Linked DNA regions of Canis lupus familiaris. The protein of the gene in region 1 purifies or fractionates together with the protein of each later gene. This does not show direct contact. Links are inferred from orthologs where the notes say so. Each region holds a gene or a part of one and is shown in the gene's direction. Other genes may lie near its edges. The genes, in order: ITGA3 and CD9.

Region 1 (15,203 bases):
TAGGCCACAGGAAGGTTGCCTCATGGTTAGCACTTCTGTGATCCTGGCAGGAAAGGAGAGGGCCCTTAATGATGAAGGGAATTTCTGCTACCTCCCAGATCAAACTCCAGAGGGTGCACTGCCTCATCCATCAGACTCAGGGACCTGAGAACAGGTCTAGTGCCCTCCCCCTGCTGCACCCACCACCCCAACCCTCCCCCCCCTTCCCTGGTCCTGGCTGCCCTGTCCTCTGCTCCTTAGCTCCCTAAAAGTTGCAAGCAAATTTCCAATCTGGGGTAGCTGGTTTCACTGCCCTGCTTCGCTGGCCAGCTCACTGGTGAGGTCCATAGGGAGGTGGGTGCTGGGACGAGGAACACGGGCAGGGAGGAGGCTCCAACCTGTTACTCAGGGCCCAGCTGGGTCCGGAGTGGGTGGGGTGGAGGAAGTGAGTCAGTGGGCACAGCGATTCATGCCTCAGAATTCTGACTTTCCTTTTCAACTCACTGAGCCAAGACATTTGTCCCAACAGGATCCCAGGCCTGGGGAGGGGACGGGGGGCAAGAGGATATTTATGAGACAGAGTTGGCCTCTCACTCACCTCTATGGAGTTCTCTGTTTTAGGGCCATAAAGAGAATGTGGCCAAGTGGATTCGGCTGGACATGCGGTGGGCGAAGACCTCCCATGTCCGAGGGACTGTCATGAGTGCTAGAAATGCAGGTGTACTCAACAGTGAGCATAATTACCACACAGTGAGGGACTTCTGGGCCCCGGTTGTGCTGTGTTCCCACAAACCTGTGAGTCTGGTATCTATAATCACACTGCAAGCCCAGACTAGAAGTCATTGTAAAGGCTGGAAGATTCGAGAATGACTGCGTGTCACCCCCACTGCGCCCCCCTCCCGTTGCCCCACAAGCACCAGCCCTAAGATACAACACGGTGCATGTTTAGGTTGTTTACATGTGAGAGCTCTCCGAATGTGGGGTCAAGATGAGAGCTCGGCCTCCCCGAAAAATGTCCCACTTCATCTTGGACACCCCTGGGGGTCCTCAGCTCTGTGCCTGTACGTAGTAGGGTGTCAGTGAATGTTTGAGGCTGACGGATTCTGAGCTAGGGACTGGGCGCCTGCCCTGTGGTATCTAGGTCACAGGAGAAAGGAAATCTGATAAACCCATTCATGCTTCACTGCTCCTCCTTCCCTCCTCAGTAATTTGCATTTGCGGATCAGAGATAGTGACCTGAGTCTTAATTCAATAGCAAAGATTTGGTCCACTTGGTTCAACAAATCTTCAGCGCCCTGGGACACACGGGATGCCGGCTAGGGAATAATGAGAACTCACATCCAGCCCTTTCATTGCACAGATGAAGAAATCGAGTTTTGGAGGAGGAAAGTAACTTGATGAAGGTGAGAGGGCCGAAGAGAGCCTGCACTCAATCCACAAGGCACGCCGATTCTGCTCCATGTTTCTTCTCCAGCTCCCTGTGCACAGCCCATCTGCACTCCGATCTTCCTGTGAGAAGTGAGGGAGCAAGCAGTGTAGTTCAGGGCTCCTGGAGACTGAGATGTGGGTGGCGGTTACTCAGACGAAGGCTGATGCAAACCTAGCAAGCCCTGAATAAACCGAGGCACCTTTACAGAATCTTGACGTTACCATTATTGTAACTGAGAAAACTTCACCCCAAACCAGGTCCCAACTCTTCTGCTTTCTTCTCTCCCTCCGTTCTGATATTCTCTCTCCATCTTGCTAGTCCTTTCCTTCTCCCTTGTCTGGATACTCCTCCAAGAAGCCTCCCTGCCTCCACAACAGAACCCACAGTTGGCTTGTTGTCACAGTCTCCTGCAGAAGCAGATGGACCCCACCCAGGGTTTTGCTTGATGTCAAGACTGATGACGCCACACATGCCAGGAGGGTATGAAAAAGTTTACTATTTACATAATTGAGGTCTCTGGGGAGAGCAGGGCTGGCCTTTTGAGCAAGGTCTGAAATGGTGTGAGAGAGCAAGAAGAGATTGCTTCACTGTGGCTAGGGACTAAGCAAGGTGAGCCTTTATGCAGGAAAGGGGTTTGAATCCCCCTTGGACACCAAAGGAGGGAACATGGCCCCAGGCTCTGTTATCAGCTGATCCAGGTGTGGGGCCTAGAGGGAGAGGAAGAGGTGGGGCTTACGGCTATCAGCAGTCAAACATAGAAAAATGGACTCTGATTCCTTCACACATGTTATTCCATGTGCCCTTGTTTCTCTCTACCTTTCTAGGTGAGGCTCTTCTCCATGGAGAAGAGTTGACACAATAAAGTCAGCTGATGGACGAGATGAGGCTGTGGATGATTTGTCACTGGAACCAGGGGACTTCAGACCCTTGTCATGAACTTTGAGGTTTCTCCTGCATCTCTTCAGCTCAGAGACCTTTCCAGGGTCCACATCTCCCAACATCCCTCCTCCAGCTCTGTCTCCCCCCACCCCCATCTATCTGACACTCCTCCACATTCCTTACCTCGAGCCCTCCCCCACTCCCGGGCGCCCTGCTCCCACTCCACATTCCCTCAGGATACTCCCCTGGAGTGGAAAAACCATCCCTCATCCCTTTCCTGCTCCCAGCCCTGGGATCGGACATGCTGGTCATTCCTGTTTGGGATGGCCCAAGAGATAATGGCTGGCATACAGCCCATCTGTCATCACAGGATTCTCAAAGCTGTTTCAGGTAGGACCCCTTGCCCACACTGAGCATCCACCCTGGCCCCTGCTTTCCTTGGCCCCTGCTGTCTCCCCTTCTCCAGAAACAAGGTGGAGGACCTGGCAGCCAGCCCAAAGGAGAATAAGGTAACTTCAGGTCAGCTTTCTATGCCTTGCCCCCAGATGTCTCCTAATCCCTGCACACCCTGGGCCACAAGGCAGACCACGGGGAGAGGTTGGGTGGCTCTGGGAGTCACAGCTCAGGAACGTATGCTGTCCTAAGGGCAGATAGGGATGAGCACCATAGACCACGCTGTTATGCAGTTGCTTTTGTTCAGATGCATCTGGCTATCTAACCAACATCTGCTCGGGACTCGTCTCTTACAGACACAGGTGTGGTCAGTAGCTTCCAGTGCTAGCTCTGCCTGCCTCGAGCTGCCTGACCTTGGACATCCAGGTTTCCTCATAAGTCAAATGAAGATGATAATACTGACCTCGCAGGGAGGACAGGAGGATGAAATGAGTCTTCACATGAAACAATTCATACACTATAATGTTCAAGTCCCCCTCCAGGTTCTCAATCTAATTCTGTACTCCAGAACTCCTTTTTCTTTTCCTTAGGGAGGGTGCCAAATTGTACAAGTTTAGGTCCCCCCCCCAAACTTAGACCTGCCCTGAGTAGTGTACAAATGTTAATGATTAGCACAAGTGGTCAAGAAGGACTCTGAGGTCAGATAATACATGATGAAAATCCAAGCTGTGTGGTCTTAACCAAGTTGCTTAGCCTTTCTGAGTCTCAGGTTCCTCATGAAGCAGATAATCCTCAAAGATTATTGTGAGGTTTGATCTAATAATCCTCGTAAAGTACTTAGCATAGTTCCTGCTGCATTAGCACTTTTTCCTTTTTTTTTTTTTTTTAGCATTTTCTACATAGTAGTTTTCATTTTATTATTATAAACTTCCAGAAACAGGGACTCTAAATCAAACTGCAAGAGAGTGAGGGCTGAGGGCTGAATTTCTGGGCCAAAAGAAGAAAGTTCCTTCAGCCTGGAGAAAACAATGTTCAGGGGAAGTGGGTCTTTGTACTTGCAATATGAAAAATCTGAGTTAGATTCAAGAAAGTACATAGTGACCTCTTGAAGTTCCCTTTCAATTAGATTCTTCTGAGGATGACCGGGCCTTTGGGCCCTGCCCACCTACCTCCACCTAGTGCCACTCACTACACACCTACGGAGGCTGGCGTCCCCGCCCCATCTCCAAACACTCAGGCTGAGCCCGGGTAGGAGGAGGAGGAGACATTTGGGATTCTGCTGTGCCGGGCCCTGAAGGCAGGAGCGGATGAGATATGGGTGCAGTCTGGGCCCAGTTCCCTGGCCACACAGTGCATTCTAAGGAGAAGGGACTCATTTACACGCCGGAGGGTGTATGAGGGATACCAGAAGGCGGAGCCCTGTGGGGGAAGTGCTGTCTTGCTGCTCATTACAATTAGCAACGCTTGGTTAGTACCACTGCTAAATATCTGTCGGGCTTTGCCGAGGGAACATATCCAGCCCGGGTCAGGGTGGGTGGGTGCGGGCGGGCCAGAGAAGCACATCTGGACAAGGACAGCGAAGGGCCTGGGTGCGAGGAAGAAGGCCCAGAGACCGCCAACCGCCTCTCAGGGATTCACAGCGCTGCGGAGGCGAAGCCGGCATTGCCCCGAGCGGCGCGCAGATGTGGGCTCCCAGATGCGCCAACGCCGGGGCTCTCCAGCCGGCCCGCCGAGGTGGCCGCGCCGGGAACGGCCTTGCCAGCAGCAGCAGCGGCCGGAGCCCAGCCTCCAGACAAATCCCACCCCCGGCCCCGCCCGGCCAATCCATCTTGCTCGGGAGGTGACGCTTCCTAGGAGAAGCAAGGGGCGGAGAGGGGAAACCCAAGCCTTTGGGGGCTCCCGACAGGTGTTTGGGGGAGAGGGCGGAGCCTGGTCGGGGAGGATGAGGAGGGAGGGGCGGTGCTGCCCCTTTAAGAGGCGGTGGCGGAGCCGGGACCTTTTCTCTTTCCCCGGAAGGAAAGCGGAGCCCCGGCTGGGCGCGCAAGGTGGGGAGGTGCGGGGCTGGGCGTGGAGGCGGGGCGCGCGCGGAGAGGACCGCTCCCTCCCGTCTTCCTCGCGATCCACGGGTCTGCGTTCCCAGATCCGCCGCGGAGCCCAGGGCGAAGGGGGCGCGGCCGGGACGAGCCGGGGGCAGTGCCCGGGGCGGGGGGGCCGTGACCGGCGGCTGGGCAGGCGGGACGGTAGACCGGCGAGCCTCGGAGAGGAATCGGGGCGCGCAGACCCTGGGCGGACGTGACACCGACGCGGCTGAGGGCCAGAAACTTCGCAGCGCTGCGGGGCTCCGGGACGCGCCCGCCGGAGCGGTCTCCGCGGTCCCCCGCCGAGCGCGCGGCAGGTGGACGGGTCCTGGCTCCCAGCGCCGGGCGCCCCCGCCCCCCGCCCCCGCCCCCGCCCCCGCAGCCATGGGCCCGCGCGCCCGCCGCGCCGCCTGCGTCCCGCGCCCGGTGCTCTGCGCGCTCGCCTTGATGGTGGCCGCCGGCGGCCGCGTCGCCTCCGCCTTCAACCTGGACACCCGATTCCTGGTGGTGAAAGAGGCCAGGAACCCGGGCAGCCTCTTCGGCTACTCGGTCGCCCTCCATCGGCAGACGGAGCGGCAGCGGCGCTACCTGTAAGTGAGGCGGGCGGGGCGGGGCGGGGCGGGGCGGGGAGACCGTGCGCGCGCCGGTGCGGATCCGAGCCTGGGCGCAGCCTGGCTTCCAGGCCCGCGGGCCGCCGGCTCTAGTGACCGGGATTAAGGGGGCGGGGGCCTGGGCAGCCCTTCTGCGGCCGAGGTCTGGCGGCAAGTGGAGGGAGTGGGTGTGGGATGGGGTCAGCAGTCATTAGCAAGTGCTGACCGGCCGGAACCTGCCTAAACTCAGCCCCTCAACCCTTTAAACCTCTCTTGAAAGTGGAAGTGGGGTCCCCGTTTCCCAAGCCCCCTCCCACTCTGTCGACCTAGTATCTAATCTATGAATACTTCTCTCCAGGGCTGGGACCTGGGGAAAACTGCAAGGTAAACACTCAGTGGAACCCTCTATCCCCTTTCCTGGGAAGAACCTGTGGGCATGTGTGTTTAACACCTCCCCCCTCCCGCCCGCCGGCCTTTACACCTTGCGTTTAGTCTGCCTGCCTGCGGGCCATGCCAGCCACACCCTCTGCAGAGCCAGACTGGAGGGCCTTCTAAGGGGCTTGGCGCTTGGCGGTTGCAGGGTGAGGTGATGGGCGAGTCTGGGCATTTGGAGCTGTCCGGGAGCTCCCTCTGACCCCTTGAAGATGGGGAAGTAGAGGGAGCTGTCCGGACTCCTGCTTGGTCTCCTGCCCCCACCGCACCCCCAGCAGGGACGCCCTCCCACCAGACATCTTCCCCACATTCCACAGATTCATGTTGAATCTTCAACCCTGAGTGTGTTTGTTTTGGTTTGAAGAGGGAAATGGTGTTTTTCTCTTCTGTTAGACTTCCCCCCCCCTGACAGCTGTAAGGAGAAGGAAGGGGGGAGAGCTACCCACAGGAGAGAGGAGAGAAGGAGATTGCATCCAGCTGTTTGTTTCCTACCCTGCTTCCTGCTTCCCGCTGCCACCGGCACTCTCCTGCCTAGAGTCCAGGTTTCAGGGATTTTTCTTCTGTAGGCTCAGGTGCTGAGGTTGACAGCCAGGGGAAGAAGGCCGCTGGGGGAGGGGAGGGGAGGCTACCCCAGGAGAGAAGGTGTTAGGAAAGGTCAGGCAGGCCCCACCTAAGTCTCTGGGCTGGGGGACCTACCAGACAGCTATCCCTACCTGGTGTCTCACTCCACTGAGCAAGAGGACATGGTCTGATACAGGGTGTATTGTAACCTTTCTCAACTCTGGCTGGAGCCTGCAGAAACTTGAGGAAGCTTGGAATGTCCAAAGTCCAAACTCTGCCCCAGCCTTGGCCTCTGCCCTGTCGGCCCAGCCCCTGCCCAGTATACCTATCTACCTGGGCCTCCATCTAGCTTCTGCAGAGGCTAAGGCCACCACATCCTTCCCAGCGCAGCACCATGCCCTCGGCCAGCCTTTCATCTTTTGCAGACCTTAAAAGTGACCATCAGCACAAGTTTCTGTATTGGCGCTTTTTCTGCCCCAGCCCAGAAAAAGATTTTCTGACTTTCCAGACTGACTCTGCATGATATAAAGCAATGCAGTGTAAAAAGAAGATCAGGAAAGCAAGAGTAAATAATGAAAAGCTGGAGTAGATAATGGGCTCTGTAAACCCCGCTCCCCATCCCCCCTACCCACCATGTGACCTTGAGCAAGACATTTCCCTTCTCTGGGCCAGTTTTCTCCAAAAAGGGGTTGGACCTGGATCTATAGAGTCCTTCCTGCCTCTGTTGGCCTATAAGAGGCAGCTTGCGATTGGAGAGAGAGAAGAGGCGAGGCGCCGGAGTCCCACTGCCACATTCCAGTCTCGGAACTGTCACTAATACCTGAGTCTTAACGTCTCTACATGTTGGCGGAAGGAGGCGGGGCAGCATGCCTTCTTCATGAGGTGCCAGTGGGGCTCTCTAGTGAGACAGCGTGTGTAAAAGGCTCTGTACATGCCTGTGTCTCCGGGGAGCAGTTAGTGCTCTTGTGCTGAAGCCAGGCTCTTACTACCCATGTGCCTCACCCAAGATGGCTGAGCAGAGGGGCTTTACCTTTCTTCCTGGGTGGCTAGAGATGGCATTAGACCTGCTAAGAGCCCAGGAGGTTCTAAAGCTAATGACCCTTGGAGAGGCAGGAAGTTCTAAACAGAGGTCTGGGCCATTCTCTTGGGTATCCTGTCTTTCCCCAGGGTAGTTCTATATCTTGGTTCATCTCCTCTTCTTGCTGAATTCTGCCCCTTGGCCCTTTGGGAGAGCCAGCTGGGCCATCTGGTCTTAGTTGCAGCCAGCTGTATAGCCAGATGTGAACAGCTGCCTGAGTGCACAGCTTAGGGCAACCAACAAGTCAAGTCTTATATTCTGTTAGTCTACAAGTCCTTTTGGAAGAGGGGAGAGGTTTCATGGTCATGAATAAAAACTCTTAGCCTGGGGCTCATAGAAGGTTTGCAGGAGGTGCAGGGACCCCTGAAAATACATGTAAAATCATGCATCTGTGCGTTGTTCTGCGGGCAGGAGGAGGGGAAGAGCACAGTTTTCATCATATTCTCAAAGATGGCCTTATTCTAGAAATGGTTAGAAACCCAGGTGTGGACCCTCTTTGTTCCCTATCTCTTTTGTCTCTGGGCTGGAGTTCACCCCAACCCAGGCCCCAGCTCCCCTGGCTCTGGAAGCAAGAAGTGAGGAGCAGGCCCAAGGCCCCAAGAGCTTTGGGCTTCTGTGAGAGGCGTGAAGAGCCCTGGGGAAGCAGAGGGACTGTTCCTCTGGGCAATGGTCCTTGCCCCCAGCCCCTAGCCCCTGCTCTGTAGCTCCCTCCTGAGAATCCAGTTGTCCTGGTTTGGTCTGATGCTGTGGGCTAGGGAAGATACCACTGGAGCTTTCTCTCCCCTTTGCCCTAGCCTGGAAATGAGGGTGTCTGCGGAGCCTGGGGCGGGGGTGGCTGTGGCTCCCGGCAGATGAGGTCATATCTAAGGTAGGTAGGAACCGGGCTTACCTGCTGTGCTCTCCTAAAACATGTTTCCCTGGGCAGGGCAGGCGCCTGGCAGCCTCCAAGGCTCGTGCTGGAGGAAACAGACAGAGCAGCTGTGGCTGCAGGCAGAAGGCCTGTACCCCGAGTGCCCTTCTCCATTCCCTCCGGTGACCAGCCCAGGCCAGGGAGCTTTAAATTGGGGAGAAGGCAGGGGAAGACTCATCTAGTAGAAAAAGAAGTGAAAGGGGGTTGGCCGGAGCTGAACAAAGGAGGAAGATGTCTGTTGCAGCATGAGGGATTGAGGCTAGATAACATGAAGAACGCCCCAAGGGATCAAACATGGAAAAGATACTAAGGAGCCAGCAAGAGGGAGAAGAAATGAGAAAAACAGCCTTGTTTGGGGACATGGCCTCTTTCTCCTGTCCTCTCTCATTCTCTTGCTTCCTCCAGCCTGTTGCTCTGGTTCTAGGGCTGAGTCACCAGTGGGGAGAGGGGGCTGGGTGGGCAGAGTAAGGGCGATGTGGGGGGAGGATGGAGAGGGCTGCGGCTCAGCTCACTGGAGCAAGCAGCCTCTGGGGAGTTGGCTAATTCGGGCAGCAGGATGGGCACAGAGCTGGGATCCAGCATCTGAGAGCTGCCCCCACCCCCACCCCTGGACTCAAAACTGTAGCAGTGCCCTGCGCCACTGCCCCCCGCCCCCGCCCGGCCTGAGGAGTAAGGCATGGGGCGTGTGGTCTGAATGCTCGCCCCTCTGGCCCCCCCACGATAACTAAAAGCTTCCCAGGCACCTCCCTGATGAGGATCCTGGGAAGTTGAATCTTACAGGCAATTTCTCTGAGCATCACCCCACCCCAGTGTCCCCCAGGGAGCCTTCTTCTCTGCAAGGAGAGCCAACCTGGTGTCTTGAATGCTCCTTAGCTCCATTCCCCAGCCTCCTCCCATACTGCCGTTTTCAGCTTGGCTGTTGCATTAGCTTTGAACACCAACCCCCACAGCCCCCCACCCAAGGAAGAGTGATGGAACCGGGTTGAGGAAGTGCTTTTATGGAACTTGGAGTTCAAGGGGCTCCCCAGAGGCCAGGATGAGCTGTCTGGCTGGAGCCAAAGAAGAGGCTGAGAAGCTGTCAGAAAGCCCTTGAGAGGTCATTTCATCCATCCCCCTAGCTCCTGGAGGGGTCCAACCCGGCTCCAGGAGAGGGGAGGTCAGATCTCCTTTCTTCTGTGCTTCAAGAGCTGGGCAAAGCATCCTACTAGCCTCCCTTCTGACCACAGCCTGGAGGTTGGACTCCGTGGCGGTCTGGGAGGGGTCGGCTTCTGGACTCACTGATCTGGACCGGACCCAACGGCAGGCAGCAGAGGTGTTCCTTTGCATATATGTTTTACATTTCACTTACATGCCAGCAAGGTCTCTCCCACACCTGGCTGCAGCTTAAGGAAGCTGGACCTGACCCTCTGCACATGCCTTTCCCCATCTAACTCCCGGTCCTCTGGCTGTAGACCCATTGGATCCCGGGCTGGGAGCCAGAGGGCCTTAAAGGGCCTCTGAGCAGGCCAAGTAGAAGCTAAAAATACTCCAGGGGGGCTGGAGGAGGGGGGCTCCTTTGGAATCTCTGGGGAGGGAGGGGCCTGGGATGTGGGGCTGGAATTAGGGCACTCGCCCTGCCCCATAACCCATCAGTGGGCACAAAGCTGGAGCAGGGTGAGGGCTGAGTGGGTATAGATGGTAAAGGGGTTTATTTTTTTTTTAATATTTTATTTATTGATTTATTCATGAGAGACAGAGAGAGAGAGAGAGGCAGAGACACAGGCAGAGGGAGAAGCAGGCTCTATGCAGGGAGCCCGACGTGGGGCTCCATCCTGGGTCTCCAGGATCAGGCCCTGGGCTGAAGGTGGCGCTAAACCGCTGAGCCACCCGGGCTGCCCAAAGGGGTTTATTTCAACCCCAGTTGCCATTCTTGTTTGGCTTTGCCTGCTCAGTACCCCAGGAGGCTAAGAGGAAGGGTCCCTCAGCCCACTCCCCCTGAGATGAGCAAAGCTGAGAGGTCATGGCCACCCTGCTCCTGAGCTGTCTCATGCCCCAACAGCTTGGTCAGGGCTGCATCTGGGGCAAAGCCATACTTGCACTGCATTTCACACCCTGGAAAGCAACCAGGGCTCCCCAGGGACTCCTTGCCACCCGCCCCCTTAGGCCTGGACCTGTCCCTTCAAATTCATGATAGCCAACACTCAGCCTCTACCTCCAGCCAGATCGGGACAACGACGCTAGAACACACCCCACCTCAGTGATTCCACCGCCACGAAGTACTGCTTAGGTCCCCTCCTCTGCTCCCTGTAAATAGCTGAACCAGTCTGCTGTTTGCCCTCTGTTCTAGACTCACTAACCTGATGGGGCAAAGATTCCTGGGTGCTTGGAGGAACACCTGGGGGTGAGCCAGGGCCAGTCCCTGATGCCGCCAGAAACTGGACAGACAGTGCTCACGTTGGCCATGACTTCGGAGTCAGAAAGCTCTTGTGAAGAATGAACCTGTTTGTTCCCCTCAACAGCCCTGGAGGTTGATGGGACAGCTGCTGTTCCCATTTCACAGATGAAGCACTTACAGCTCAGAGACGGAAAAAATTGCCCCAGGAGGCAGAACAAAGCCGAGAACCAGGCCCTTAGGTTCCTTTCCCACAGGCTCTTGCTTCCCTCTCTCACCTGTCAGTGGCGCCGGGGCAGATGTCCATGGGTGGTCAGGCAGCGGACTCACCGAGCACCCTCTCCAGCCGGGCAGAGGGTGACTAATGGGGCCTGGCTGCCACCCTGGTGCCCTGCCAGCTTTCCCCCAGCCCCTCCTAGCACTGCTCTGCTTGGAGAAGCTGCACCCTTGCCCCCAGGGATGCTTCCCAGGGTGAGCTCTGAGCTGAGATGTGAGGCGCAGGCAGAGATCCCACCCCTTCCCAGCACCCCAGGCAGTGCATTCCTCACAGCCAGTGGGCGGAGGCACCCCAGGTCCCGGCATGCCCAGGCCCTGCCCTGCCCACTCCCTGGAGCCCTCACTCACAGGTCCCAGGCAGGAGTTGCAGGCGGGGCCGTTGCTGTGTACCTCCAGACTCTGGCAGGAAGCCCAGAGCCTCGGGGTGATAGTGTTGCTGGAGCTTGATCGAGGGGTACCTAGGAGGTACCTGCCACCCAGGAGGCTGTGTCCATAGGATCTGGCTGGCAATCCTAGCAGAATGTCTAGAGGCTACCAGGAGGTGATATCCCGAGAGCAAAGGGTGGTAGAGCTGTCTTCTCAAACTGAGGTGCACAGTACTTGGGATACATGTTAAATATGCAGGTTCTAGGGCCCTACCCCCAGATGCAATGCAGATGGTCTGTGGTAGGCTGAGGAATTTGCCGTTTTTTAACAAATATGCTGGGGATTTCTCATACTGGTGGGCCAAGGACCTTGTCTTCTGAGATACTGCTTCCAGGCTGATCTGCCTTCCTCTCCTCTAGCCACCTGTCTGGGATGGGGTGGGTGGCGAGGGCCCTAAGCACCCTTGTAGGAACTTGCTTTGCAGTCATTTTCCCCAAAGATGGGTGCTGGGCAGGTTGGGGCCAATCCCCACTCTCGTGCCCACCTGCCAAGAATGTGGCCCTGTGGCCCCACTGTCCAAAGGGCCAGGTACCCAGCACTCCCAGCCCTTGTATGCCTGTCTCAGGGTAGTGGCAGTGACGTGCCAGGGAGAGTAGACCTCACGCAGGTCACTCAGGGGCCTTGCTGGCTGCAGCTCATGCGGCTCCAGTTTTGGGGACACCCACTGCATTCAGTTGTCATCTCCTGCTGCCATTCTTCAGTGCTAGCCCCTAGACCTAGGAGGGACCCAGGCCTCCAGCACTGCCCCTACCCCCTTCACGTGTTCTCAGGCCGCTCTGGAAGTTGATCCCTGTGCGGGGATTCCCCTGGTCATTCTCTCTTCCCGTCTACCTTCACCTCAGAGGCCAAAGCATTCCTTTCAAAACCCAGATCTGACCATGTCATTCAGATGCCAAACATTCCTTTCAAACCCCAGATCTGATCATGTCACTCCCTTGCTTAAAAATCCCTTCCCAACCTGCCCTTCTGGGCTCCCCTTCCACCCCCCCCCCCCCCCCCCCCCCCCCCAGGTCCCCCTGCCCCCTGGGTCCCTCCTCCATGTTCCCAGCTCCTGCTGTATAAAGAGCCTTGCAAATCCTGAGTCACCCTGCTTGCTCATGCTTCCTGCCCTTGCACATGTCATACCTTTGCCTGAAGTGCCCTTCCTTCCTTTCTCCTGGTGAGCCCTGGTCATCATTCTCAGACTCTGACCAGGATCCCCTCTTACGTGAGCCTCCTAGACTACCCCCCCAACACTGGGTCTGGGCAGGTTTGCACCCTGCTTTCCTCTCCCGAGGCCCTCACTGCAGATATCTGTTTTCTTGCCTGCCTCTCCTGCATTGGCCACTCCTGGAGGGCAGGGGCCAGGATCCATTCATCTCCCGATACCAGAGCCTGGCACACAGCCTGGCACCAGGGACGCAGCAGACGCTCAGCAAACATATTGAACAGAAAGTTGTTTGCAGCAGGCTTTGGGAAGTCTGAGCCCAGGCCCACCAGCCTCATTGCCCCCCACCCCCCACCCCAGGCTCCTGGCTGGTGCTCCCCAGGACCTCGCTGTGCCTGATGGCTATACCAACCGGACCGGTGCCGTGTACCTGTGCCCACTCACTGCCCACAAGAACGACTGTGAGCGGATGGACATCTCAGAGAAAAGTGAGGGAAAAGGCGCTGAGGATCAGCGCGGGGACAGGAGCCTGGTCGGGGAGGGGGGCAGGTAGCACAGAGGGTGACCTGGAGGAGCTATCAGGCTTACCTGGGTTTCTAGTCTTCTTGTCCAGCTGGGGGGAGGGAGCTCTAGGGGAAAGTGGGACTACATGGGATTTGTAGAGCTGAGATTCCTGGTGAGCTGGAGGAGGGCAAGGGAGGGCTGCCTACAGTAGTGGAAAGCCAGGAAGACCAACTCCTGCCCACTGGAGGCTCCAAGCACCAGGAAGATGGGTGCCCTGGCTCATGATCCCTCCCATGCCCACAGGTGACCCTGACCATCACATTATTGAGGACATGTGGCTCGGGGTGACTGTGGCCAGCCAGGGCCCTGCGGGCAGAGTCCTGGTAAGTGGGCACTTACTGTCCGCTCCCCCCACTCCTGCCCTCTCCATTTCCCAGGAGCTGGGGAGGGAAGCAGAGGGTGGGAGAGGAGTCTTTAGTGAGTGAGCTGGGACCTTGCAAATGTCCATTTATATGACTGTATGTCTCCATGGGCCCAAGTGTCCCCTTGATCCTTCACTTATGGCATGCTTCCAGGGCCTGGCATGGCTTGGGTCCTGTCTGAATCACCCACTTCCTTTCCCCTCCTGGGGTGCTCACCCTTCATGGGAATGAGCTGAGGGAACTGAGGAGAAAAGGGCAGAGAGAGCCCGGGGCAGCGTGGCCTGGGCCCGCTCCTTCCTGACAGGCTGGCCCGCGGAAGAGGCACAGCCCTTCTGACCCCAGCTCACCCCCTGGGCTTTGGGGGCCACTCCCTGCTGTCACTTGTCACTTCCTGGCTACATTCTTCAGTGTCAGCCCCTGGGGTCTCAATTTCTGAATCCCAGATAGGCGATTTTCCTTTTTTTTCCCCCCCACTTAAAAAAAAGTGTGATGTGAAATTTACAGATAGCAAAATGTACTGATATTGAGTTTTAATGAGGTTTGACAAATGAAACACCTGTGTAACTGACACTCATTAAAGAAATATTTACATTACTCCAGAAAGTGTGCCCCCCTTCTAATCAATCGCCACCCCCATGGTCATCCCTGTTGCATTTCTTTCACCTTTGAACACTGTTTTAAGCTCCAGGGGTTTGCATCAGTTCACTGAAATGCCATTTTTAGAACCATGTTATGGACAGCAGGTGGTCTAGCATTCCATTTAAGGCAATTGCAGGTCCCAGGCCCTTCAGCAGTTGTCTGCTTACCCGTTCAACAAATGTCCAGGGCAGCCTGGGTGGCTCCGTGGTTTGGCTCCGTGGTTTAGCACCTGCCTTCGGCCCAGGGCGTGATCCTGGAGACCCGGGATCGAGCCCCACATCAGGCTCCCTGTATGGAGCCTGCTTCTCCCTCTGCCTGTGTCTCTGCCTCTCTCTCTCTCTCTCTCTCTCTCATAAATAAATAAATAAAATCTAAAAAAAAAAACAAAAAAAAAACCAAATGTGCAGTGAGCCCCTACTGTGTGTCGCGCATCTGCTAACATTGGAAGCTTAGCAGTGACTCAGGCCTGCTGCTGCTGGAGCTCACAGCTGGCAGGAGACACAGAGAGCAAGCAAGCAAGACCCAAGCCCAGTTCTGGGTTTCGCCTGCCCCTGCTGTTTTACAAATGCCCTGTTCTGCCTGATTTGTCCTGCAGCTGTTTGTTGAACACCTCCAGTATGTGGGGAGAAGCTACCAGAGAGGTGGAGCAGCCTAGCGCTTAGGAGCTCAGACTCAGGAGCCTGACAGCCTTGGTTTGAGTATTCTCCGCTTCTCTCTAGATGTGAGATCTTAGAGACTTAGTTCTCTGTGCCTCAGTTTTCTTATCTAAAATGGGGGGGTGGTGGTAGAAATTGTCTCTACTCCCCAGGGATATTGGGAGGCATCCTGGAGGCAATATGAGAGGAGTTTAGACTTCTGTCCAGCATACAGTAAAGACTCAGTAGGTGTTAGCTGTTATTTCTGCTGTCATTGCTATTATTTTAATAATGGCCCATCCATGAAGAGGGCACAGCAGAGAAGTAAGTTCCTTAATCTGCTTTGTATCTAGGTTTGTTTGTTTGTTTGTTTGTTTGTTTGTTTATTGAAAATATTTTATTCATTCATGAGAGACACAGAGAGAGAGAGGCAGAAACATAGGCAGAGGGAGAA
Region 2 (15,211 bases), on another chromosome or scaffold:
CAGAGAATTAAAAGGAATGCAAAACACTAAATCATTGTGGGATCTTGGACTGGATACTGGAACAGGAAATGGACATTAGTGGAAAAATTGGTGAGATCAGAATAAAATCTGCAGTTCAGTTAATAGTGCTATACTCATATTAAGGTCTTCGTTTTGACAAATATACCATGGTCATGTAAGAGGTTAATATTAGGGGGAAGCTGTACTATTTTGGCAAATTATCTGTAAACTCAAAGACACTCTGGAATTTAAAAAAAAAAAAAAGCTATTAAGAAAGAGAAAGGAAAAAAAAGAAAAGTAGGGCAAAATGGCTAGAGCGTATAAGGTACTGGAAGTAGGGAAATGGGTGAGAGACATCAACACAGCCAGATTGCTGGGGGGCCTCCTATATCATGCAGTGGTATCCAGACTTTACAGTCTGCAGGCAGTGGCTCTGTGGCAACATTCTCCCGCTCTGAACCCTTCTCAGGTGGACACTTGTGAAAGCTTCTTACTGCCAGGTTCACCTTAACTATAATTCACCTGTCCATACCTGCCTGAACCCACGTACTAAGGTCCCATGTCTTACACACACACACACACACACACACACACACATACACTGCCACTCCAGGAAGAGCCTGTGTCCAGCCTCTGATCCTCCTCCTGAATCTAGAACTACCACTCAGAACAGAAGTCAGCAGCCATCCCCGCTCAATATGGTAGAGAAAAAGCAGTAAGTCTCCTAGCTCCACAGCTGTGGCAAGGGAGGTTCAGAAAGACAGGCCAAGGTGCAAATACCACCTGTGGTCATCCCCTAAGATGCAGAGAGTCAGCTTGCTCTGAGGCATGAGGCACGTTCAAGATGAGGCCACCATGAGGCATCACATGCAGCCCCTTCACCCTCCTCTCCTGTGGAGAGGCAGGTTAGCACATGTACCCTGGAGCTGGGCTGCCTGAGTTCAAATCCTGCCTCTGCTGCTTCCTAGCAAGTTAATTAACCAACTCGTGCCTCAGTTTACCTGTTTGTAAAATAAAAATCGTAAGACTATCAACCTTATGATAGCTCATCTGTGAGCTAAATGAGTTTATATAGCAGGTAGAAGAACCCCTGGCACATCATATGTGCCCACCCAAGTGTTATTCTTTGGACTATTTTTTCACTGAGTATCCCTGGAATACCTACAGTGGGTACCACAGGAGCTGATAATCTCGTTGGGGAGATTTTTATTTTTTTAAGATGCATGAAGTGTGATATGATCATGCAGGACAATGTTTGAATAGTCTAGTGGATGATTCAGAAAGAAATCTCTTTTTTTTTAAGATTTTATTTATTTATTCATAGAGACAGAGAGAGAGAGAGGCAGAGACACAGGCAGAGGGAGAAGCAGGCATCATACAGAGAGCCTGACGTGGGACTCGATCCAGGGTCTCCAGGATCACGCCCTGGGCTGCAGGCGGCGCTAAACCACTGCGCCACCAGGGCTGCCCCAGAAAGAAATCTCTACAAGAGTACGGGAAGGGGGGAGAGCAGACTGAGGTGACCAAGGGTACCAGGGAATGGGGGGGCCCCACTGTCCTCAAAGCCCAATCAGCAGCATCCAGGGGAGGAGAGGAAGATGGGCCTGGGCCTGGAGCTGGGAGCTGGGGCTGAGGATGGTGGAAGTGGGAAATTAGACATAGATGCGTAGATGCAGGAGCACACACAGTACCCCAGATGTGTAAATATCCATCAGTTAAGACAAGAGGGCTTTTGTGATGATTTTAGAACTGGAGCATTAGCTTTGCATACGTTCAATCGATACATATTTATCAAGCACCTACTGTGTGTCAGGCACTGTTCAAGTAACGTGGGACACATCTGCAAACAGGGCAGTCCAAACCACCCACTCCAGTAGAGTTTAAATTCCAGCAGGAGGAAGCAGACCATAGATGGGAAAAGTCTCCCCTGTGTTAGAAGATGAAAGTGCTAAGGAAAATGGTGTAAATGCAAAGGGAGTTGGGAGGTTTGGGAGCAGGAAACATGAGCAGGAAAGAAGAAAGCAAAGCTTTAGGAGTAAGACAAAAATATATTAAATATTCATTACCTCCAACTCCTTCCCACTCCCTAGTCTCTAAACAGGACAGATCCTGAGAAATACTTGACGCTTTACTGAGCTGCGGGAGTGGAATTAGAGTATACAAACTGGAAATGCCAAGTGAGGGCTCCACCATTCCATAGGGACAGAAGGCTTGGACACAAAGGGAGGAAGAAGCTGGGGCAGGGGACAAAGGCAGGGGTGGCTGTCACAGAAAGGGAGCTTGCAGAAAGATTCATTCAGAAAGGGTTTTTAATATTTATTATTTATTTATTTATTTATTTATGATTTTATTTATTTATTTGAGAGAGAGCATGCACACAAGCAGGGTGGAGGGGCAGTGAGAGAGGGAGAAGCAGACTCCCTGCTGAGCAGGGATTCCCAAAGCAGGGCTCGATCCCAGGACCCTAAGATCACGCACAACCAGAGCCAACTGAACCACCCAGGCGCTCCCACAAAGGGTTTTTAGAATGGCGTGCTCTGGCCTGCAACCTCTCTCTTCTCATCCAGCGCCCCATGGCATCCTCATGAACTGCCCACTATACGTGGGTGATCCCACGTTGACTATTCGTGTTTAATGCAGTGGAAAGGTACGGCTGGAGTAGAGCAACCCAGGGCAGCCCAAGCCCAGAGACAGTGCAAGGCAATGGGTGGAGCGATGTGTGCAGAGTGGACAAGTGAAGACAGGGGGTCAGGACAAGGGTAGGACAGTTGTTTGGGCTTAGGAAGAGTTCTGAGGGCCTGGCCTACAGGGGGGGAGGAATGAAGGCTGAGAAACCCACTGGGAGCTGGAAGCAGAAGACCTGAAGCCTTGATCTTTGGCTGTAAGTCACTATCTCCTGCCTTATGCTTGTTTCCTTATCTCTAAATTGGACAACTCTGCAGTCACGGCCAGGAGTGGTACAAGAGATACTTCACATTCGTGAAGCAGGTATGGGATTGGAGGGAGAAGTGGTCACAGGTGATGTGAATTTTGGAGCTAGTGGGTGAAAAGCATGGCTTCTGGAGCAGAGAGGCCCTCAAAGTCATGAACTCTGATCTGGATATTTATTTTGAAATTCCAATTGCTTCTGTAACAAGTTACCACACATTTAGTGGCTTAACATAACACATTATTTTACAGTCCTGAAGGCCTGAAGTCTAAAATGAGTTGTTCTGGGGCACCTGGGGGCTCAGCCAGTTAAGCATCTGCCTTCAGCTCAGGTCATGATCCCCAGGTCCTGGGATTGAGCCCCACTTTGGGCTCCCTGCTTGGAGGGAGCCTGCTTCTCCCTCTCCCTCTGCTGCTCCCTCTGCTTGTGCTAGTTTTCATACTCTCTCTCTCTCTTTCTCTCTCTCTCTAGTCAAATAAATAAAATCTTTAAATGAGTTGTTCTTTCAGGTAGCTTTAGGAGAAAATCAGGTTCCTTGTTGCTGCCAGCTTCTGGAAGCAGCTGCCTGCATTCCTTGGCACATGGCCGCATATCACTCAGACCTCTGCTTCTACCTTCACATTTCCTTCTCTACCTCTGACCTACCTGTCTCTTCTCATAAGGACTCCCAGGATCACACCTGCCCCACCTGCATAATCCAGGATAACCCCTCTATCTCACAATCCTTAACTTGATCACATGCATGAAATGCCCTCTGGTGTACAAGGTGACACATCCTCACACATTTGGGGGATTGGGATGTGAAGGGCCATTAAAGGAGAAATGCCTAATAGGCCCTCGGATAACACGATGAGTTTAGAGAGAGGCAGCTCCAAAGAGAAATGATGAGAGGGAGGGAGTGCCCACGGAGAGCTGAGAGGAGAGCACATGGCAGGGAGCAAAGCTTGAGGAAGGCCCACTCCTCCAGTTTTTCCACACAGGTTTTGGGGAGCGGGTCGGGGAGGGGGGGCGCTGACCCGCCAGCAAGGGATTGGCTGCTTCGGAGAACACAGAAGTTCATCAGGTGAAGTATACCTTAGAGGAGCTCACCACCAAAAGGAGAACACACAAGAGAACATGAGGAAAGTCAAGAGTCACACGTGAGGGAGATGCAAACAAGGTAATCCACGGAGGAAAAGACCGGGGCGTTCAAGGAAGGCTTCATGAAGGGACGGCATTTGAACTTAGTAAGAGAAGCAGGGAAGAAGTTTCTAGAAGTGAAGGGAGTGAACCAACATGGTACAGCACTGGGAAGGCGGAGGGAGAACTGTCTAGAAAGAAGGGATGGTCGGCAGGGTAAAATGCTGCAGCAGCAGGAGCAGGGAGAAAGCGAACCCCCAGAATGACCCCTGGTGGGGTGGCCAGGAGGGCGTTGGGGGCCAGTGAGAGCGCGGGTCCTGCGGTTGCCTCCCGCGGCTAGAGGGATGAGCACTCCCGGGGAGATGGGTGTGGCATTAGCCCGCCTGGCCCCCGACGGTTCAAATCTTACCACCAGGGGGCGCACAAAAGCCAAAGTGGACCCGCAGCCTGAATCCGGGTTTTTCCAGAAACAGGATGCCCTGAGGGAAGGGAGGGACCGTTCCCCACTCCCAGCACCACAAAGTCTGGAAGCCCTCTCTGCCTCCATGTGATCTCTGACTCAGGGGCTTACCCAGATTTTCCCCTTCCAGCTAAAGCAAACCATATTTTTTCCATCTCTCCCCTTCCTGGTTGTCTGTAGAACTAACTGCCTGTAATAAACACACTTTGGCTCAGAGGCACCATAGATCGTCAGAATGGACGGGACCCTGCCATCTCCTAATCCAAAATGCTCGTTCTACAGGTGAGGAGCTTGATGCCCAGAGAGAGGAAGCGACTTGTCCAAAATAAACCCATGGGTCGGATCAAGAATTCAGATCTCCACACTCACATTATAGGGACTCCCTTGATTGCTTGTAATTTGGAATTTAACTATAGCCCCCTCCATTATTTCTGGAGTATAAATAGGAACAGTAATAGTAACAATAGCTAACATTTCTAGCACACTTGTGTGTCAGGCACTGTACTAAGCCGTCTCAGTGGATTACCTCATTCAATATGCACATTACCCTAAGAAGTAGTTTCTATCATAAGCTTAAATATTTACTGAACTCCTCTCACCTATGTTGGTGAAAGGGCAGGGTGGGAGGAGTAGAGGAGAGAAGAATATAAAAAGATAAAATCCTCTTTCCTTAGATTCTAGATAGGCGGCCTCTGCCTGAGAGCAGCACAATGGGACATTGTCTGATTTTTCTACCACTCCCACACGCTGCCTGCCCCCACCATCCTCATTGGACACTAGATTAGGGTGAGTGACAAAGCACTACCAAAATTCCTCCACTTGGCCACTCTTGGTATTATGCAACACGGAGGGGAACCCTGGTCTCTCTGCTTCTCCTTACTCATCACAGTAGGCTCCCAAGAAGCATTAGAACACGTGAATGGAGTTCCCCAGAATCCAGCTCCTGCTGTTCTGGCTGGGATCTCTCCTCCCCACCAACCCCTGCCCACACACACACACACACACACACACAGACACACACACTGTCCTCTCTTCTGGTTTGGCTGCACTCTCTAGCCTACACCCCCTCACCCCATCCTCTTCACTCTGTCTCTCACCTGACCCATTTTAGAGCCTCCTAACTACTCTCCACATGTCCTCACCTCACCTTTTGTGTCCCATGCTCCCCTCACACTACTCAGTTGTAGGGCCCCTGACATCACGTGACACCCTGTCACCTTCCATGTAATCCCTCAAAGCTCTGTGCCAAGGTCTCAACAGACAAACAATCATCCTTATCCAAGGGGCTTGCCGCCTGCACCTCCTGCCCTCCCCCCACGCAACTACCTAAAATACAGGTAGCCATCAACCTAAATCACACAGCAGATGGAACTCGCTCCCTACCTGAACCCCTCAGGGGCCCCAGACCTCAGAGTGCAAAGTGTGCGAGGGGAGGCTCCCCGTCATGTCATCAGCTGGGTCTCCACCTCTACTTCCCACGGATCTCCCCCAACTATGAGCTCCAGCCCCAAGCTTTGCCCAAGATTCTCCTGTGAAGCGACTTTTCCTTTGGCTCAGCAGCATCACTTTCCAACCTGTGCCAGAGGCCCCTCCTTTGAGCTCCCTCAGCCCCAGCTCTATCTCTGTGACCCCGAACAGTACTCTCTCCCATTGTCTGGCTGCCTGAATCCCTCCACCAGTGGACACCCAGCTCCTGCCCCTAATGATGCCCCTTATGAACAGATGCTGAACAATGTTTTTGAATGAATCAATGAGACAACCGAGAGTGGTCATAAGCATTAATATAAGAGCCACAAAGTGCGACACCCTCCATTTCTGGTGGGTGAAATTTGAGTTATGTTCTTTTTTTGCTTCTTGGTATTTTCTGATGTTTCTTGCTTTTGTAAAGGAAACTTCATTTTGAAAAAAAAAAGATACAAAGGGGCTTGGGGACTTCAAAAGAAGAGGGAATCGTTTCATCCTTTGGTGAGAAACAGGAAAGGAATGTTTGAGGAGCCTCATAGTTTCTACAACTGAAGAGGGTAGGGCCAGGCAGCCAGAGGGCACACACCACATGCCACAGCGAGGGCTAGGCCACGCAGAGTCAGAGTCGGGGAGCTGAGGAGGGCGGCGTGGTCCAGGTAGAGCGGTGCTGGGCACGGACACAAGACAAAGGACAGAATGCAAGATGGGCAGTTTCGCCTTGGGTCATTGAACACTGGGGAGTTACAGAAAGTTGTTGAGCTGAGGAGAGCCGAGCTCAGAACTCAGCATCCAGAGGTGTAGAGCTCAGCATCGGAGGCCAAGGGGCAAGAGGGAGGGTGCTGTGGAGTAGAGGCAAGAGCAGGAGCCGGAGCCCGGCTACAAACGCTCTCTCCCCTCCGGGCACGCACACCCCAAGGCCCCGGAGCTCTCCAGGACCACCCGACACTCCCAGCCCTGTTACTGTTGGGTAATCACATTTGAAAAATTACTCCTACAAGCCTCCAACCCCTCTTCCCACCTGGACTGCCAGCTTCTGATTCCTGCTCCCCCGCACGACGTGCGAGCAAGGGTGGGCTCCGCCAAGCAAGTTTGCAAGGAGCCGCCTCAGGGAGGGACAAGGCCAGGCGGCGTCCCTTCACGGGCAGCTCGGAGCACGGGGTCCCCATCCCGCGGCCAGCCTGCCTTGAGTGGGGGGACTGGACCCCAGTGACCCCGAGGGAGGGCTCCCAACGTGGGGGGCTCGGGCGGGAAGCCCAGAATCCGCAAGGCCCGCACCGAAGGGCGAGGCGCCCCAGAGCTCTTAGGTGAAGGCGGGGGGAGGGGAGCCCGGAGCGATCCCGGGGCGGCTGGGAGGAGGGGTCGGGCCGGCGGGGGGGGGGGGGGGGGGGGGGGGGGGGGGGGGGGGCGGGGGGGGGGGGGGGGGGCCGGGCGGGAGTCGGGAGCCCCGGAAGCCGGGCGGGAGCGGCCTGGGGGCCGGGGCGGGGCAGGTGGGGCCGGGCCGGGCCGGCCGGGGGCGGGGTCCGCGGCACATGCGCACCGCGGCGGGCGCGCGCAGCGAGGAGGGCACTTTTTAAAAGTGCAGCCCCGAGGCCCGCCCGCAGCCGCCGCCGCCGCCGCCTCGGCCCCGAGTGTGGTGCCGCTCGTCCCGGCCGCGCGTCCCGGTCCCACGCCAGCCCGGCCCAGCCAGCCCGCCCGCGCCATGCCGGTCAAAGGAGGCACCAAGTGCATCAAATACCTGCTCTTCGGCTTTAACTTCGTCTTCTGGGTGAGTGAGGGCGAGCGGCCGGCGCGCTCCTCGGCGCCACCTGTCCGTCGGGGACCTGGCCGCGCCGGGGGACGCCGAGCGGGGGACACGGGGCGCCGCGGCCGCAGCTGCGCCCTCCCCGGGGCCGGGCCGGGCGGGGCGGGGCGGGCGGGGGCGCGGGGCGGGGGGGGGCGCGGACCCCGTCTCGCTGAGGCTCTGCGCTGCGGCCCGCGGCTGCCCCTCGCCTCCCAGCCCCTCCGAGTGCAGGCGGGGGAAGGCGGCGGGAGAAGCGGAGCCCCTCGGGGGGCGGGGGGGCAGGACGGCTCGAGACCTGGTGGGGTCCCGCGAGGGGGCGATGCGGGCGCTGGCGGGGAGGGTTCAGCCCAGAGCTGATGGCACGTCTGCAGGACCGAGGCCTGGGACCCCGACCTGAGTGAGAGTCGGGGACCCCCTCGACGGTCGAGGAGGTGCTTGCAGGCCGGGTTCTGAGCCGCCGTGGGAAAGTCGGAACTCCCTCGAAACTACCTGAAAGACTAGCTTGTCTGGATTTTTTTTTTTTTTCCCCCAAAGGCGATAAGTATCTGAAGCGGAGAGAGCTCAGAGTTGGGGAGAGGCGAGGCAGCTGCCCGTTGGCGCTTTCAGTCCTGTGTTTCTCCATTTCCGGGGGAAGATCAGGTGCCCTCGGCCCCCTGGCAGCCCGGGCCCTCCCGCCTCGCGGACACCCCCAGGCCAGCCCACCCAGTGGCTAGGCGCGGCCTGGGAGAGTGGCGGTTCCCCCGGAGAGGAGGAGAGGACGCCAGGCCAGGCCGGGAGCTGCCCGACTCCCACTGCTGGCCGTGCTCACCCCTCTCTGCAAATGCAAAGTCTGATGGAGGCAGTGCCAAAGGGGATGCCCCCTCGGCGCCTTCTCTTGGGGGGATTAAGAGACCACCCTGAGACAGAAAGAAGCAAGGAACAGGGGACCTGTGTGTCCTGAGTCTGAGGGCCACATCCCCTGCACACAGATGGACAGTGTTTGTTCCTCTGCAGTCAGGGAGTTTGGAATGGCAGCCCAGCCCCTATGCCACCAGGGAGATGGCTCTAGAAACGGGCATGCCACCAGAGCCTTGTAACAAAAACTATACGGTACCTTGCTCCCCTGGCGCTGGTCACTGGGGTCCCCAGGAACCTCGGAGCAAACCTCTTGAGATTTTAATTCTCTCTCAGGAGCTGCCAGTAAGAGACTGACCTGCCCTTGCAAGAGTCACCATACACAACACATGTTCTAGTGAGGATGGCACATAGACGTGCCCCTGCCCAACACTTGGCCTGTTTTAAGGAACCCACCCACCCCTACCTTGCCTCAGCGGTGGGCATTCTTTCCTCCTGGTGTTCCCACAAGCAGCCAGCCAGCCAGCTCACTCCCAGGCTTGGCTTCCTCCCCTCACCAACCTCTGGCACCAGAAAAGAATGTGAGAAGGCGGATAAGCCCCACCCCACTCCTGTCCTTTGGGGAGTCTTCTTCCTCTCTCCTCCCCAGCACAATCTCACCCACCAGTCTGTTGCATCGTCCTCATCTATCTGCCTAGGCTGCATCAGGCTTTCAGGCAGGGAAGGAACCACAGACTCCCATAGGCCCTCATACCCAACCCTCCACCCCCATCTGCCCTGTGGCACAGGCAACAGTCTGTTGGGAAGTTCCAGGGCTCCTCTGGTGTCTGCTCAGTCTTTTATTGTCTCCAGCCTACCACCCCACCCATACTCAAAGCTACCCCTGCCTGGGCTAGGCGCTGCTGGTCAGCTATGTCATCTAAAACGGACATGACTGAATCTGGAAATGTTTGGGTCCAGAATTAGGAATGACTTTAGTGATCATCCAGTCCGCCCCTCGTATCCACAGTGAGGAAACGGAGAACCAAAGAGGGGCCCAGAATCACAGAGACCGAACCACACTTGAGTCCCGCCCTCTTCGGTCTACATCATGAAATCAACAAGGGGACCTGGTAATGGGCTGGTGTTGGGGAAGGAAGCTACGTTTTTCTGAAGTAACGATTGTTCAGTAGTCCTGTGTCAAGGTCCTTGTAGAAATGATAGAATAAAGGAGATAAGGATCCACTTGTGCAGCGTTTTACAGTCTGCAAAGGCCTTTTCCAAGTCCCATGATACAAGCCAGAGCTAGAAGCATTATCCCCATGGTACTGATGACCAGGAAACTAGTCGCCAGAGAGGTAAAGTGACTTATCCAGGGACATGTGGCAGGATAGCATCAGAAGTTTGAAGGGAGGTCTTACTAGCTTAAAGTCCAGTGTACTTCCCCTCCTAGCCTGCTGCCATGGTCAGCTGGGTAGAAACAAGCTCTCAAAAATATCTTTAAAGGGAACCTGGTTGGATTGTTATGATGGCACCAGTTACCTTTTTCTCCCAAGACCAGGAATTTATACACTTGGCATTTGGGATCTGATGTGGGCCTTGAAAAACAGGAGTTGTGAGGCCAGTGGCTCATGAACAAAGGATGCTGAGATGGGTGGCCTAGCAGGACCCAGAGAGAAGAAGCCTACCTCAGTGGTAGTGGGATGATCAGGATGGAAAGATGGTATACCTCTGCCCCAGCCCTGGCCTCAGCCCTATGGGACCCTGGGTGACAGCTAAACCTACCCTCTCTGGCCTCCCCAAGTAGGGCCTCTGATGCTCACAGCCAGACCAGCAACCAGTCTATTCATCCAACATCCCCACAACTCTAACTTCCTGGCTCTCCGTTGTTTCTGTATTTTCTTCTAGACTGCCCTACCTACTCCACTGCCCACGCCCCCTGCTCCCAAAAAACACAGTGGAAATCTGGACAAGAACCTGAGTATTGGTCTACCTCTGTCCTCTTGTCACTTGAACACCTTGGGGAGGTGGTTTGTGTGCTCCAGACCTCAGTTTGCTGATCTGTAAAACCAACGGGTTGAAACAAATGGTCGCAAACCGTCCCTTTCGGGACTTTGCCACACAATCCAAAATCTGAGTCAGGAGATGGGAATGCACAGGGGTTGTTACCAAGACTTGTCCTCAGAGCCTGGCATCATTGGGCCTTTACCTCCGGGGCCTGATTCTTGGTCTCTCTCCTGTGAACTTCACATTTCCCTCTGTCGCCCTGGGTGGGGCTGCTCTGGATGCAGCCTCCCCATCACCAGGCTGGAGCTGGTGTCTACCCCATGGAGCTGCTGTGGGTTAAATGACAGAGTGTGTGTGATGCCCTTGGCACAGTAGCCTCGCCCCAGACACCATAAACTTCCAGCTGTGGCCGATGTTACTCCACAGCTGGAAGTACATTTAGGCAGTGGGGAGGGTGGGAGCACTTCCCAGAGGAGGGTAGAAATTGAAACCAGGGATGTAGGCAGGAATCCACACTCCACACACATCCTCCTACCCCTTCCTTTGCTCCTCTTCCTGAATCGCTGCCAGCCTCATGATCCCCACCCTACCTCCGGGATTCCCACTTCAGGACACCCTCTCCATTTTATGTGTGGTACCACGTTTTGACAGTGGGGCAGCCCCACTTATGAAAATAAGCCACAGCGCAGAGAGACCCCAAGACCTCAGGCTCTGGGGTCAGGGCAGAGGATGTCCCCAGGGAAGTGGCAGGGGCTGCTTTCTCCAGAAGCTCTTGGCCTTGGTGGTTGGGCTGAGCCAGCAGTTGGGACTGTTGCCTAAAATGGCTCTCCACCTTTAGCACACAGACAGCAGGAGCCCTGGTAAAGCTGGCCGTGTTTGTACTGAGGCCGGCAGGTCTGGGGACAGGTGGGGTGAGGCGAGGCCAGGTGTCTACATCTGCTAAGGAAAATAGGACTGCTCCCCTCCCCAGAATCTTGATGGCTTGCCCCTCACTTTGTTCTGTAATGGTTGTCAACAACAAAGCTCTGACTCCTGATTTTGTGGGGAGTGGGGTTCCTCACTCTACCCCTTTCCTTTCAGAGTGGCCCATGGCACCATTCTGGACCTTACTCTTCTGTACTCAAAGGAAGAGGCCCTGGCATTTGAACCACTTTAGTAAGCAGCCCCACGGAGGGCCTTCCTTGCCAGAGCACCCAACTCAGCTAAATGAGTCGGTCTGTGGCTTCAGACCTCAGTCGGCCTCCGCACACCCTTCTGTATTAGATGTGAATCTTCTCTGTTAGACACAGAGCTGTGTGTCCCATGTTTGACTTGTGTGTTTGTTTTCCGGTACGATTCAATTTTATAAGGAGGTGTGGCTTTGGGTCGCACCGTTTGGAATTTCATAGTTACACTATGAACCTGCAAAAGCACCTTTTCTTCTAGAAAACAGGAGCCTTAACTGTTCTTTCCTGGGTATGGGTGCACCTGGCTGTGGGTCAGGATAAGGGACCTGAGGCCATGGGTTATCGTGACTTCTGTGGCCTGTTGTCCCGTTGGTAGACAAGGAGGATTCTCAACAGACCTGTGTCCGTTCAGCCAGGAAAAGAGAGTGATGTTTGAGGAGGTGTGTGCTTTTGTTCTGCGTTCCCCACTCTCCAGGTGGGGGGGGGTCAGTGGGACTGCTGTTGCCCCCCCCCCCCCCCCCCCGCAGGTCTTTTCCACCACAGAGGTGCAGAAGCAGTCTTTTCCATCTCTTCCATACTTCCTTGTTCCAGGGTTTTGAAACTCTGGGTAAGAGCCTGTTGGCCCCATGTTCTCAACTCCTCGGAAATGTCCTCTGCAACGGACAGATGGAAATCAGGAGACCAGAAGGGCTAATCTCAACAATACTTTTTTTTTTTTTTTTTTTAATTTATGGTTTTGAAGTCTGACTGCAGATCACTTGCCTGTTGCATTCTGTGGAAAAAGTAATGCTGGTCCCGGGACATTTTCATTTTCCATCAAGTGATGGCATGCAGCTGTGGAAAGCAGTATCCTGTCTCCAGATGAGATAATTTTATAATAATTACATCTATCCGGTAATTCCAGCTCCCCTCCTCTACTGCCCCAACCACCTCCACCACCCCGAAAAAGTACTTAGTTCTGAATAGGTTTTTAAGTACTGTGTGCCATCGTCCTAGACTCATGGACCTTAACTTACTTTTTAAGGGAATTCTACAAAATCAGTAAGACCTGCCTCCAGAAAAATGATATGCCTTTTTTTTTTTTTTTTTTGGCTTTTTTCTGAAGGCCAATGAACACCTCATATTAGTTTTTCTCTCTTGGTCTCCAGGCAGCCTCTTCTCTGTTCTGAATCCCATGTTTCAGCCATGAGCAGTGGGTTGCCTCGCCACTACCCAGAGACTGGGGGTGATTTGAGAAAAGCTAAGTTCCCTGATGATCAAGAGCAGCCTAGCCTGGAGAGCTAGCCTCCCCACCCATACTTGCTCTGACTCTCAGCTTAATCATTGCCCAAGGAGTGGCTTTGACTCTCGATTAATTTAATGAGTGTTCTGTATTTCCAGTCCACATGAAGAATCTGACTTTATGAGCTTCTAGCTAAGTTTTGCTTCTTGGGTTAGGGTTTTCCCATAGCTTGGGTGATTTGTTTTTGTTTAGGAAGAACTGAGTTCTGACTTTCCCTCCGCCTCTTTCCCTACCAAATAGAGGCTAAAATCAGCCAACCTCTCCTGGCCTTCCCCTTGAGAACTTTAGAAAGGGAGGGGGGAGGTGTGGATTGTTTAGGGATTTGGGCTCCTGAGGAGATGATATTCAGTTTGATTGAGTAGCAAGGGTAGGTGAAGCCCTCTGATGGAGACGGGCCTGGATTCATTTGATCCTAGCAAAGATCCCTGGGTAGAGAGGTATGAGGACTATTGATTTGGAGAAAAATCAGATATCTGGGTTTTTTGGTTTTTGTTTTTGAAGATCTGAATTTATTTATTTGAGAGAGAGGGAGAGCCAGTGAGAGAGCTCTGGGAGGGATAAGCAGGCTCCCTACTGGGAGCCGGATGCAGGCCTCTTAACAGACTAAGCCACCCAGGTGCCCCAGAAATCTGGGTTTTAAAGGTCCTTCTTGTTCAGTCCACATGCCGGGCATTGTACAGGGATGCTGAAACAGTGACTTTTGCTGGCTCTGTTAGGAAAGTCAGCCTTCAAAGCTTAATCATGTTACTATTATGTTCAGTGTGTATTCCAGGCTCCAGTGAACACCTCTCAGGCCATCTTCTGGTCCTACTTTCCCCACTCCCACCATATTCTAGCTCTGACTCCCTAAGACAGATAATCCCTAAGAGACCTAGAAAGCTTATTTCAAACAAATTAGCTCCTCTCCTAGTGCTGAGGAGGGCCCACCTGTTAGTATGAGAAGCTGGCATTATCCTCTGGGGGCAGGTGGCTCCCAGGACTCCATAGCCGGGGCTCTAACACAGGCTTATGGTCATGCCCTTCACTGGCAGGATGGTGCTATGGGGAAAGGGCAGAGGTTCTGGCCTTCCCCTTGGGGCCATTCCTACAGGGGACACGAGGACGGTGGCCATTGGGCAGCCAGACTTGCACCAGTAGCTAAGATGGGATGAGAAGAAGATATGTTAAGTTACTCTGGGGAATCTGTTTCCCAGAACAGTGCTTGTGTCCACACTGACTTTCTGGCCAACGCAGCAAGGGTGTGGATGAGGTTCTTGGGCCAGAGGCCAGCAGGAAGAAATGCATTTTCAGTCTATCTCTGTCTGTCTGTCTGTCTCTCTCTCAACTCTCTCAACTCTGTCTGTCATGCAGCCGGGCTCAGAGAGAGACCAGGGTCAGGTTACACCTCCAGGCCAGGTGGCCATTGCAGGTGCCTTCCCAACCTGAGAAGGTAGAGCCCTCTGCTATTCCAGGTGGGCTCTCCTGGGACCTTTAAGAATAGAAGGTACAGTTTTGAAATGAGATCAGATATGGCCGGGAAGGAGACAGGACAAAAGTACAAAATTCTGACTCTGAAATTAACGACACTGATCAAAAAGACAGTTTAGCAGAGAGAAACTGGGCTTTGCAATCATACTGTCCGGGGTTCAAGTTCTTGCTCAGCTGTTTATTTGCTACGTGATCTCAGATGAGCTGCTGCTGTGTCCAAGTCTTCCCATCTAAAAGATGGAAGTAAATATTGCCTACTTGGTGGGTCTATTGTGAAAAAGAGTACAAGTGAAATGCTGCAGGCAGGGTGTGGGACATAGCAAGTATCAAAGTGCTGGCTGCCCAGGAGCACACAGTTAACCCTCGAACAGTGCACCAATCCCCACTCACTCAAAAATCTCTTTATAACTTCTGACTTCCCAAAAACTTAACTACTGATAGCCTACTGTTGACCAGAAGCCTTACCAATAACATAAACTGTCAATTAACACATACTCTGTATACTGTATTATATGCTACATTTTTACAATAAAGCAATCCAGAGAAATAAAAATGTTATTAAGAAAATCATAAGAGAAAACACATTTACAGGACTGTACTAAATTTATCCCCAAAATCTGCATATAAGTTGAAACCCGCCTTGTGCAAATGGCAGCTATAATTAAGAGACCTGAAATGAAGACAGAGATCATGGCAAAGGGATACGATAGATTATAGGTTGGAC

What was found.
Region 2: the proteins of ITGA3 (region 1) and CD9 purify together in Homo sapiens (affinity purification with western blotting; 3 studies listed by BioGRID and IntAct, with this or other methods). This does not show direct contact. The link is inferred for Canis lupus familiaris from reciprocal best matches to the Homo sapiens genes ITGA3 and CD9.

Annotation. Positions count from the first base shown.
Region 1 is NC_049230.1:26,011,587-26,026,789, forward strand, and holds the start of ITGA3 (integrin alpha-3), read left to right. Parts: upstream 1-5,142; coding exon 5,143-5,348; intron 5,349-12,909; coding exon 12,910-13,037; intron 13,038-13,356; coding exon 13,357-13,436; intron 13,437-15,203.
Region 2 is NC_049248.1:7,310,544-7,325,754, forward strand, and holds the start of CD9 (CD9 antigen), read left to right. Parts: upstream 1-7,572; 5' UTR 7,573-7,671; coding exon 7,672-7,737; intron 7,738-9,052; exon of another isoform or gene 9,053-9,159; intron 9,160-15,211. UniProt on the Homo sapiens protein: Integral membrane protein associated with integrins, which regulates different processes, such as sperm-egg fusion, platelet activation and aggregation, and cell adhesion.